3 linked regions of the Notamacropus eugenii genome follow. The protein of the gene in region 2 purifies or fractionates together with the protein of the main gene of each other region. This does not show direct contact. Links are inferred from orthologs where the notes say so. Each region holds a gene or a part of one and is shown on either strand. Other genes may lie near its edges.

Region 1 (3,743 bases), on a different chromosome or scaffold from region 2:
AACTCTTCGTAATGCTGTAATTGGGAGTTTTCTTAGCAAAGATATTGGAGTGCCATTTTCTTCTCCAGCTCATTTTAAAGAAGAGAAAACCAAGGCCAACAGGATTAAATAATTTGTCCAGAGTCACACAACTAGTAAAGTGACTAAGGCTGGATTTAAACTCAGGTCCTCCTAACTCTGCTAGACCAGGCACTCTATCCACTGTGCCACCTAGCTGATCCTATGATAGTTTGCTAAACCCACTCCCTCTCCATATGGCATTTAAGAAGCAATTTGGAAAAGAATACTGTTGATATGTATATATGGAGAAACCTACACCACAATGAAAGCTCACTCATAGGCCATTGTATTCATTAGAATAAGAAAAGCATACATATTTATTAATCTTTACAACAGAGGTGTTAAAAACAAAAAATAATGAAGTTTCCCAGGGTAAATGACACACCTAGGAGAGAACTTGAAATCCCTATTTTTCAGAAACAATTAAATTCAGGTTCCCCATCTTGTGGATTTACAAATAAGTCCATAAGGACTGGTCAAAGAACAGAGAAGAGATTGGCCATGAAGGTCAATTTGCTAAGTCTATAGAACACATACTGTTTATGCTCTCAATGACTGAAATTGTGATCATCTTTGCACAACATGATAATGAATAAACTTTCACTAAAAGTACGTACAACTTTGCAGGTAGGGGGTTGGGGGAGTGGCAGCAATACATCTCCAAATAATACAGCATTTAAACCACAGAGAAGAAAGTGCATGGCATACAAAAGAAAGAGCAGGCCTTGGAACCAGAAAAGCCTGGGTACAAGGCCTGCCTCTAACACATTATGGCTATGTTCCTTAAGCAAATTATTTACCCTCTCAATGCTTTAGGCAAGTCTCTAAGACAAGAAGTTAGGATAAAACATGCTAACCCACATTGATAGAGGGGTTTTCCCTTATCTAGAAGTTCCTTTTACCAAAGAAATCAAAAGTCCAGTCCCTATCCTTATCTCTTAAAATTCAGAAAATATAGAGAGAATAGGTCACACATCACCACTCACCAGGAGACAGTGGGCAAAATCTGGACCTCCTACCAGGACAGTGAAATTTCCCAGCTGTTCAGCAAGAGCCAATAATACCTCATCTTCATCATAAATTGTATCTAAAATAGCAACAATGGGGAATTCATAAACAGAGTTAGGGGACCAACAGCTGAACACTCAAGATGAAACACAAGGGGAAACAAATTAGACATATAAATGGCAACATAGTCAAATTATAATAGTAAGAAAGCCTACTCTTCCTTCTTTCAACAGATACTACCTAGAATCTCTCCTACAGAACTGAGTTAGGAAACTGCTCAACCTCCTTTCCTGTGTCATGTAAATATTTTTTCTACTTGCTTAATATGTCCGTAATATTTCTGTCCATATTATTATATTCTGATTTGGACCAAGGCAGATGGTGTTGTCTTTCTATACCACTTTACTCACACGACTATTCAGTAATGCTGTTAGTAACGTAGCCTATGAAATGGCTAAATCAATAAACAAATGCTACAAAAACTAAAAATCCCACACTTTCTAAGAAAACAGAATTAACATACCAGTAAGAAATGGCAGCAGTTCAGTTCTTGTTCTCTCTACTCCAAGAGCTAAAGCAATTGTTGATAACTTCTTAATACTGTTGAGTCTTAGCTATCAAAAAAAAAAAAATCATATGGAGATGCAAGGGGCAAATCAGTACAAAGCAGACAAAGTGCAAATCTAAAAGAAAAGTGCTAAATGGACAAGTGATGGCAAGGAAGACAAATAAAATTTAAATTTCTAATTTAGATTTCTCAGAGAAGATGATGTAGCATGGAAGGCTTCCAGAAGTCAGGTTAACCTAACCATATAAACAAGAGAAGATTCCTCAAGTTGAGCAGTCATACTTTTTTGGGAAAATACAATAAAAATGAAAGAAAGCCTGACAAGTGAAAGAATTTTTAACAGGAAAGAGAATGCTGACAGGAGTGTGGTGGGCAAGAATAAACTGGAGGATAATTGTTGTCATTTTCCTTTTTAACCTGAAAATACACATTTCATTTCGCTTAATCATGCATCCCTCCTTCCACCCAACCGGCTTTTCCATGTGCAAACCTTGGACATATTTCAACTCTACAACTCCAAGGACCCCTGGGCATCCTGTTAATTAAACCTCGGCCCAGCATTTACTTAGCGTAGGGGGAAGAGGAGAAATTAGGGGCGCGGTGGAACTGGGACAAGACCTGAAGGGAAACCCCTGGGGGGCGGGGAGGGGGGAAGGAAGCACCCCGATCAGAAATCCCGACCCCCCCCCCCCCACTGATACTAAAGGGTTTTTTTCTTCTTAAGCTAGGGCTAACGCGGCCCAGTTTCTCCCGGGGCTGACGGGGTTTGTTTCCACAGACCAGCCCCCACGAGGCGTCAAAGAAATTGGGAAGCGTCTTCCTCGGAAGCCGCGGGCCCAGCCCGGGCTGGGCCCCGAGACTCGGAAGAACCTCTGCGGGGTCAGGGCTGAGCCCCAGCGTGTGTAGGGGTAACTCTGGGGCAGGTTCTGGTCTCCCCCGGGTTCCTGGCCGACCTGGCCCGGCCTCAGGCCGGCTGCTACCCCCCCACCCCAGTCACTGGGCCTTCCTGCCTCAGTCCTACCTCCCCCCGTCTCCCCATCGCCGGCCCGGACTCAGGTGCCCGCTTCGGCCCCACTACCTGCACATCCTCATTCCGGAGCTCGTCGATCAAAACCGCGATGGGGTACAGCGAGTCGTCTCCGTCTCCGCCCGCGGCGCCAGGACCGCTCCCGGGCCCCGCGGCACCCGCCATGTTCTTCCCCCGGCTGCTACCGCCACCGCCGCGGCCGCCTCCTGCTCAGAGCGTCGCCCCGCCCCACGCACGCACGCACGCACGCACACGCTTGCACGTCGCCCCGGGCTGCGACCCACACACGGCGTGCGCGTGCGTCGGAGCCGTTTACTGCTTTCGTGATCCTTCGGGAGCGTGAAGATGCCTCTCGACGCCCGGGCTTCGGGCCCAGAGGGGTTCGGACGAGCGCGTCTGAGCTTTACAAGGGGGTCGGAGGAGGGCCCTCGCCCGCTTGTGGTCTCACGAGGGCTGTGCCCGGCGAGGCCCGGAGGACGGAGGCCCCGCTGCCCCTTCCCTCTTGCCCAGCCAGCAGGCCAGGCCCTTCTCCGTGAGTTCTCCGCTCCTCCTCCCCTCCCCGGCACCCCAGGGAGCAGGGCCCGGCCTAGGGCCCGTCCTTCAGCAGCTCCCGTACAGCTAGCGTGCACTGCTGGAAAACAAGGAGTGACCGGAGGAGGACGGCGCAGAGCCGGCCGGACCCTGCACTCGGTATTTATTCCGGTGCCCCCGGGCAAGCCGGGAAAAGCTCGCTGCCCCCTTGGGGTTGTGTTCCTTTTCCATCTCGGGCCTGAAATTGTGCCTGCTCTACGCTTTTCTCCCCCCGGCCCTTATTCCTGAATTAAATTAAACCGACATATATAAAGACGTTCCTCTGTACCGCACGCCGCGCTGGGTGTTAAGGATACCACAACGGAAGTGAAACAATATTAAGTACCTACCGTGTGCCAGGCACGAAGTTAAACGCCGGAGGTGCAGATAAAAACTAAAAACCAGTGCCAGTGCTCCTGGAGGCCCCCATCCAAAGGAGCTGCCTTCGCGGAGCCCCTGCCTTCAGGAGCTTGTCGTCTGCGGGGGCGGGAGGGGGGACGGGGCATGACC
Region 2 (3,743 bases):
GGCGCTCCTCCTACCTGCCGGGCTGCTCCTCCTCAGGCCGGCGCACCTGGACCCCCGGGCATGCTCCTCCTACCTGCCGGGCTGCTCCTCCTACCTGCCGGGCTGCTCCTCCTACCTGCCGGGCTGCTCCTCCTACCTGCCGGGCTGCTCCTCCTACCTGCCGGGCTGCTCCTCCTCAGGCCGGCGCTCCTGCACCCCCGGGCATGCTCCCCGCTCGGAGCCCGGCCCTGGGCCCGCCCCTCGAGGCGTCCGCAGGGGGCTGTCCCCCTCAGTCCCCCCAGGAGGTCCCCGCTCCCCGGCCTGGAGAGCCGATGGCTCGAGGCTTGACTCCCCCCTGCCCTCCGCCCCCAGCACTGCAGAGGGTCCCGCTCCCCTGGGGGTCACCTGCCGGGAGGCCCCCGCGCCGGGGGGCGCGGGCCAGGGGAGGGTCACGGGTGACCGCGCTCGTCACGTGGGGCCTCCTCTGTGAAAGGGGGCGAGGTCGGACCCCAGGCTCCAGGCCCCCCAGCTCTAGCTCCGGGATCTCCCGGCTCTCCTCCGCCCCTGGCCAGGGGGCGCCGCACCTGGGGAGACGGGCGTGCCAGGACCCACCTGCAAGCAGCCCCGCCCCCAAACAGCGGCCACTCTGGGGGGCCGCCCAGAAGCCCCCCAAGACCGACCTGGGGATGGAGAAAAGGAGAAGGGGGAGGGCGGAGGGCACTGTCGGGGGCCGAGGCCTTCCCTCTCACTGCCCCTCACCGGACCAGGTTTGGGGGCCCGGCAGAAGCTCTGCGGGCTGACAGGGGTCACGCTCCACGGTTCCTCCCATCCCCCGCCCCCAGTCTTCCTCCGCGCTAAGCCTCCTGGGATTTGGAGTCCTCGCCCCCCTCCCAGAGGCTCCTCGAGGAAATGCCGAAGCCCAACCAGCCTTTATCGCCGCTGCCGCCTGAGGCCCTGCCCGGAGGCCCCGCCCATTTCCCAAGGGACGTCAGGGAGCCGGAGTGCCCCCTCCCCCAGCATCAGGAGCAGGGCTTCGGGAAGCGGGACTACAACTCCCAGAAGGCAACGGGACGCCCGCGACTGCGCAGTGGCTCTCCCATCTCTGCCCCCACCCCCTCCTCGCTCCTCCGCCGCCCTGGCTTTCTCTATCTCCAGACGCCGCGGGAGCCGGACCGGAGCCGGAGCCCGAGTCCGAGCCGAGCCCGAGCCGAACCCGAGCCGAGCCCGAGCCGGAGCCGCGTCTGGGGTCGGGCCGCAGCTGCTCCCGTCACTGTCAGGCGCTGCGGGCGAGGCCCAGGGCGGTCATGGAGACCCCCGGAGGCGGGGCGCGCTGAGGCCTGGGGCCCCCCGGGGGCGCCTCAGTCCAGGTACGGGGAGGGAGGAGCCAGAGGGGGGATGGGAAAGGGCTGGGGGCGGGGTAGGAGGGGGGTTGGGGGAGAGAGCGGTGCCGGGTGGGGGTGGGGGAAGGGCCGGAGAGAGGGAGGCGGGCGTTGGTGCAGGGAGGGGGGGAGGGGAGACCAGGTGTGGGGGAGGGGCCGGGAGGGAGGGAAAGGAGGGGGCTACGCGCCCCAGGGAGTCTAGCCTGGTCTGGAGGGGAGGGGGCGGGACCAGCCCAAGGTCACCTTTCCGTCAGTAGGTTGGGGGGGCCCAGCTGTCTGTGCTGCTGGTTCCGATTCTGGGGTGCAGCAGGACTGGGGGAGGGGCAGCCCTGAGAGGTGGGGGGGCCCAGGCTTGGAGTCCGGGGGAGGGGGAGGTGCCGGACCTCCCCCATCTGGGCCGGGCCGGGCCGGGCCGGCCGCCCTGTGCGCCCCTCGGACCCCGAAACCCCGTGTCTTGGTCTGCGCGGATCACAGGTGACGAGCCGCGGATTGGACCGGGCTGGCGGCGGTTGGCCGGGAGACATGGCTCACCTGAGGGACTTCGCTCAGCAGGTAAGGGCTGGGCGGGGTGGGATCGCTGGCGAGATCGTGGGGCAGGATCGTGGGCAGGGTTGCGGGGCAGGATCGTGGGGCAGGATCTCGGGCAGGCGGGATTGCGGGCGGGATCCTGGGCAGGGTTGCGGGGCAGGATCGCGGGCGGGATCGTGGGGCAGGATCGCGGGCGGGCGGGATCGCGGGCGGGATTGTGGGCAGGGTTGCGGGGCAGGATCGCGGGCGGGATCGTGGGCAGGGTTGCGGGGCAGGATCGCGGACCGCAGCACGCCGCTACCCGACCCGAAACAGGGCAGACTGCCCGCCGGACCCCTCGCCCCTCGCCTCCCCCACGCCACGGTGCCACCCGCAAGTTTAGAATTCCCCTGGTCAGTAAAGGGCATCCGCGGGGTCCATCTCTCCTGAGCGCCACGAAGAGAGGCGTGCCAGTGGGCAGGACACCTTCGGAGAGTGGTTATCAGGTGCAATCTCATCTTTTACGCGACTGCTACCTGGTGGGAAGGAATCAAACTTGGGGTGGGCTCTGTTGGCGTCCAGGGGACCCCGGCAGAAATTGAACCCGCGTCTGGGGAGGGGGGACTAGCACACCAAAGGACCGTGGCTAAGTGTGGGGAATGCCAGGAGCCTGGGGTTCTCAGTCCTAGGGCGCTGCTGAGTGGGCCAGCCATCCCCCTGTCTGGGGCCAGGTAGCGATTCTCAAGGGTCCCAGTCTTCTTCCCTGTGGCTCCTCAGAGCAGGGACAGCACCTTGACATTTGGGGAGATTCTTTTGTGAGCCATGCGTGACTATCCCCTTGTGCTTTCTCGGTGTGTATGGTTCAAGTGAGCTGCTTGAGCATTTCTGCTGCAGAAACTTCTGGGAAGGGGCCCTCGGCTGGGGAGCCACCCTTCTCTGGAGGTGGGACAAAAGCTGCCCTTTGCTTTTGGCTGCCCTGCGACTAGCGCCCAGATCATGTTTGTGCTTTGTCTGAACAAAACTGATCATACAAGGAGGTTGACTTAGGTGAGAGCAAAGAAGGTCAGTGGAGGTAGTCGTTGGAGATAGGTAGAAATGCATTTTGACTGTCAATTGGAGGACACTTTTTTAGTTAAACATATTATTTTTAAAACTGTGAGTTTAGAAAGAGTTGCTGAGTCCTTTTAAGAGAAGAAAAAATAGGGTGGAATGATTGTGCCCACAGGTACAGAGAGGTTAAGAGAAGCCTTGTAGTCCCCTAGGGTAATTGTGTGGCGCTGAAATGAAAGGACAGATGTCACTGGGCCTGGCCTGGTGATAATGCCAGCTGCGACTGCAGGTGGGGCCTTGGAGGGAGTGCTGACCTGACATCTTGGATTCGTCTGCAGAGCAGTGGTGCGCTGTGGAACTTATCCCCTCATACGTGTGAATGGGGCTCCAGCCGTGAAGAGTGTTGGGGTCTGTGAGCAGAGGAGGCAGAAAGAAGCGCTCCCCACTCGTTAGTCCCTTTGGCAGCTTGAATTCTGGGTACTGCTCAGGGCTGAGGGCCCAGGAGTAGACCTAGCACTGCCTCAGGTGGGGCTGGGCCCTCAAGAGCCTTGAGCAGCTACCAGGTGTGGGCACCTCAGAAACTCCTTCCACACACTGTCTGTTCCAGACAGAATTACAGTGCAACTGATGCTTCAGGTGAAGGCATGTAGAACCAGGAGCCTGGGGAGTGGCCCACCCCTCACACCCCGCAGTTCATGATGACAGGCCCTTTAGAAGAGCAAGGAAGCCCAGAGTGTCCTCAGTGGGCTAGACATAGTCCTACAGTGAAATCTAGGAGGCAGCTAGGGATCCAGCAGGGATGACCTGGTGGGACCAGGACTTTTGAGG
Region 3 (3,743 bases), on a different chromosome or scaffold from region 2:
CAAACCATTCCAATATCTCGTCGAAGAAAATCCCAAAGTGAGGTCAGTAAGAGTTGGACACCACTGAAAATACTGAACGACGGTAAATGATTGCTCTCACGGTCTCTCTGAATGAAAGAGCTAGGACAGAATCAACATCTCCTTCACATGTTCTCTCAGAAGATGAAAGAGGCAGCCGTGCACTCAAACTCTGCCTCCTCCTAAATCTTCTGCTTTCTTCCCCAAAAGCTCTGAACCGATCACAGTCTTCCCAGAGTTTCTTCCCAAGCCCATTGTCTGGAGTTCTGGGATTGCTGTGCCTTGCAGAATCAAACTTAGAGCTTAGGGGGCCCTAGAACCAGAAGGTGGCCCCCTCATTTTGCAGATGAGGAACTGGGGGCTCCAGCGGCTGTGTATCTAAGGGTACCCTCTCCTAAGTGGCCTTCAAAGCTGGCTCTAAGTCCAGCACCATGGAAGCTCTCCTTGTGGATTGTCGGGTTGGGTCCCACGGGTTGGGTCCCACCCTTCCTGTCCCCAGTGTGGGTTTCCTTGGCAGAGACACTGGAGGGGTTGGTCATTTTCTTCTCTGACTCATTTGACAGATGAGAAAACTGAGGCCAACATGATGAACTGACTTGCCCAGCGTCACCCAGCTTGTTCAGAGGAACCTTCCTGACTCCAGGCTGGGCACTGTACCCGCTGTGCCACCGGCTGTGCCCCTGGCTGTGCCACCGCTGCCCCGTGAAGGGCTTCATCACGAACCACTGAAATGCGCGCTCCTAGAGCAGAGCTGGGATACAAAAGGGCTTCCCTGGGAACAAACCGAATGTAAGCGGCCTGAGGGCAGGGGCTGTTTCACTTTTATCTGCCCGCTCGTGCATCCAGGCTAGCCTTTGCCCCAGCGAGGGGAGAGCACTGAGCGCACGCGCTCTCGCCGGCTCGCTCTCTCGGGCCCTCGCCGGGCTCGGCCTCGGTGGGTCCGCCAAGCCTGTGGGGGCGTCCGAGGCTCCCGGGGCTCCCCGCCCCTCGGTCGGGCGCGCGGCGCTGCGAGCCGACGTCGCAGCGCACGGAGGCTGCGCACTGCGGCTGCGCAGAGCGTGCGCCGGGTCGGGCTGGGGGCGGGGTGCGGGGAGCGTCGAGGCCTGAGAGACCGAGCCGGAGCCGGAGTCGAAGCCCAGTGCCCAGCTCGAGCCCGAGCCCGAGGCCCCTGAGCGCCGCCCGAGCCGAGCCCGAGCCCGCGAGCCGGAGCCCCCGGGGCCGCCCGAGCCCAGTCCGAGCCCGCGAGCCCGCGGGAGGCCGACGACGGAGGGGCCCCGAGCCGCGCCGCGGGCACCGGACGGGCCGCCGCCGCCGCCGCAGCGCTTCGCCCAGGCCGGAGCCGGAGCCGGAGCCGGGGCCGCGGACGGGGCCGGGGACGGCGGCGGGGACGAGGAGGAGGAGGAAAAGGACGAGCCCGAGGAGAGCCCGGCGAGGCCTCCAGGAAGGAGCCGCCCGGCCCGGCCCGGCCCGGCCTTAGTCTGGTGAGTGACCGCCCGTCCCGGGCCGGCCGCCCCCCTCGGCACCCGCCGCCTCTGGGCGGCCCCGACCCCCGCCGAGAAGCCTGAGCAGACCCAGGCCCCGCCGGCCCTGTGCTGACCCGACCCGGCCCGGCCCGCTGGAGGCCTGCGGCCTGGGCGCCTATGGGGGAGGTCAGGGCCGGACCCCGGAGCCCAGGGTGCGGGAGGCTTTGTTGGGGCTGAGAGGGAGACACCCCCAGGGCCGGCGGGGCCCAGGGCGACCCACAGTGACCCAGGGTGACGGGACGTGGAGCCGGACCCCCAGACGAGCTGGCGGGGAGATCATTGGGCGACGAGTCCGGAGCCGGGGTCCGGGGAGTGGTCTTTCCCGAGACCAGGGCCTTCTCCCGCATTTTACCGCCCCCTGACCCACCCCACCCTGGGGCCTTCGCTAGCTTCCTGTTAACGGATCGAGGGCTTGCTGTGTGATCTTTATGGCAGGAAGCGCCCTTCTCTTTTCTTTCTCAGTTCTCTGGATTGAACGATTGTGCACCACAGCCTATGTGATTTCATTTCGCAGCCACCAGTGAGCAGTGAAAGAGGTGGTCTGGGCACTGGAGGTCTCGAAAAGGAGAGGCCAGCTGATCACTTGTCAGGGATGTCCTAGAGATCCTGGACCAGGGGGCCTCTGGTGGCCATCCAGCTTCATTTGGGTCAGTGCTGTCCAACACTTTGTTCATCTGGAGTGTTCTCTACTTCCTGAATGTACCTGATGTGTCTCCCAGGAGAAAGCTGTCTGCTTGAAGACAGACTGGTATTTTTCTGTTGTAACTTTGTATTTGGTGTGGTGTTGGATACAGTGTTTCTCAAGTTAAGGGTGGATCTGTGAAAGAAGAGTGAGAAAAGCCAAGCTTGGTGCTGACATTTTCTCATTTAAATGTAGAAGGAATTCCTCTTTCTTAAATGAAATGCAGCTGGAGCTCACTTTTGATGGGGGTAAATCACCTTGTTGGTTTACTTCTAGATGCAAGTGACTTTGCTCAGACTGAGTTGTTTGAAAGGTGTTTACTGGAGATGTCAAGCTCTTGTGGAATTGCCGGAACGTTTCTGTATAAATATACTCATTTGCTAACTCCTCATTTCTGTTCCTTTTTTACTAAAAGATGTAATTATTCACACAAGAATTGGCCTGTAAGTTTTTGAGTTACTGAGCTATTTGGGCTATTGTGTGGTAGCATTTTTTATCAATTGATGTGTTATTGTTAAGGATATTTTTATCCTGGGATAAAATTTTATATATAAATATAATTTTTGTACAAAGTAGATAACATTTTAAATTGACTTTTATTATAAAGTGATTTGTTTGTAGTTTCATGTTAAAAGTGAAAGTTAATAAAGTTGGTACTTAAGTTTTTCCAGAGCACTTGGTAGATATCTTAACAAATGTACTTAGCTTCTAGACAGTGAGCTTCTTGAAAGGGAGTTTGATTTCCTTTGGTTTTACAAATTCGTGTTAGTAGGTTGTCTTTGAGTTGTTTAGTAATGATTAATAAGTGAAAAAATGATTTTTTGACAGGATCAAGGGGAAATGCCCTTAAAAGCTCCCTGAAATTCTTTGGATTTTAATGTTTATGAAGGCAGGCTGATGTTGACATACATGCACATGTGGCTTGGGAGTAACTTCTCATTTTCCTTATCTGTGAAGATTTGGATTCAAGACCTGTGTCTTGAATTTTTTTTAATTTTGACAACGTAAGGAACATGATTATATTAGTTTATAGGGTGCAAGTTATCAGCTTATCAGCTATGGAATGGACGTCACTGAAGTGTAAAACACCAGTGCAGCTATAAAAACATAGCTTTCTGGGCTAGTGTCATATATTTGTGGACTATGTATTGCAGGTTTTTCCTTTTTAAAGGTGCTTATAAATAGGGCCATCCATATGGATTGAAGTCATGTTAAAATTATCCATACAGTTTTTGTGTCATATATGAAATTTTAAAACTAAAGTGTTTAGAGAATTGTGAAATTTAAAAATTTAAATATTTTAAGTTTAAATATTTTAGCATTTCTGATGAAAATTAAATGATTAAGTACTTGGACAGTGAAACAGATTTGTAGTTTAATTTTTAGGTAGTTCATTTGAGTTCATTATATACATCATCATATCAAACTGCAGTATCATTATTGATATTAAATTATAAATTGACCAGTTTAAATGACTAATTTTTATTGGTATTTTTAAACTGGGAAGTTGAACTCATTTA

Evidence for each region.
Region 1: the proteins of STK25 (region 2) and PPP2R1B purify together in Homo sapiens (affinity purification with mass spectrometry; 3 studies listed by BioGRID and IntAct, with this or other methods). This does not show direct contact. The link is inferred for Notamacropus eugenii from reciprocal best matches to the Homo sapiens genes STK25 and PPP2R1B.
Region 3: the proteins of STK25 (region 2) and CAB39 purify together in Homo sapiens (co-immunoprecipitation; 3 studies listed by BioGRID and IntAct, counting the BioPlex papers as one, with this or other methods). This does not show direct contact. The link is inferred for Notamacropus eugenii from reciprocal best matches to the Homo sapiens genes STK25 and CAB39.

What each region holds. Positions count from the first base shown.
Region 1 is NC_092876.1:142,472,167-142,475,909, reverse strand, and holds the start of PPP2R1B (serine/threonine-protein phosphatase 2A 65 kDa regulatory subunit A beta isoform), read right to left. Parts: upstream 2,877-3,743; 5' UTR 2,829-2,876; coding exon 2,715-2,828; intron 1,683-2,714; coding exon 1,592-1,682; intron 1,148-1,591; coding exon 1,047-1,147; intron 1-1,046. UniProt on the Homo sapiens protein: The PR65 subunit of protein phosphatase 2A serves as a scaffolding molecule to coordinate the assembly of the catalytic subunit and a variable regulatory B subunit.
Region 2 is NC_092877.1:378,498,369-378,502,111, reverse strand, and holds the start of STK25 (serine/threonine-protein kinase 25), read left to right. Parts: upstream 1-1,037; 5' UTR 1,038-1,346; intron 1,347-1,832; 5' UTR 1,833-1,880; coding exon 1,881-1,910; intron 1,911-3,743. UniProt on the Homo sapiens protein: Oxidant stress-activated serine/threonine kinase that may play a role in the response to environmental stress.
Region 3 is NC_092873.1:59,171,798-59,175,540, forward strand, and holds the start of CAB39 (calcium-binding protein 39), read left to right. Parts: upstream 1-1,325; 5' UTR 1,326-1,499; intron 1,500-2,003; exon of another isoform or gene 2,004-2,188; intron 2,189-3,743. UniProt on the Homo sapiens protein: Component of a complex that binds and activates STK11/LKB1. In the complex, required to stabilize the interaction between CAB39/MO25 (CAB39/MO25alpha or CAB39L/MO25beta) and STK11/LKB1.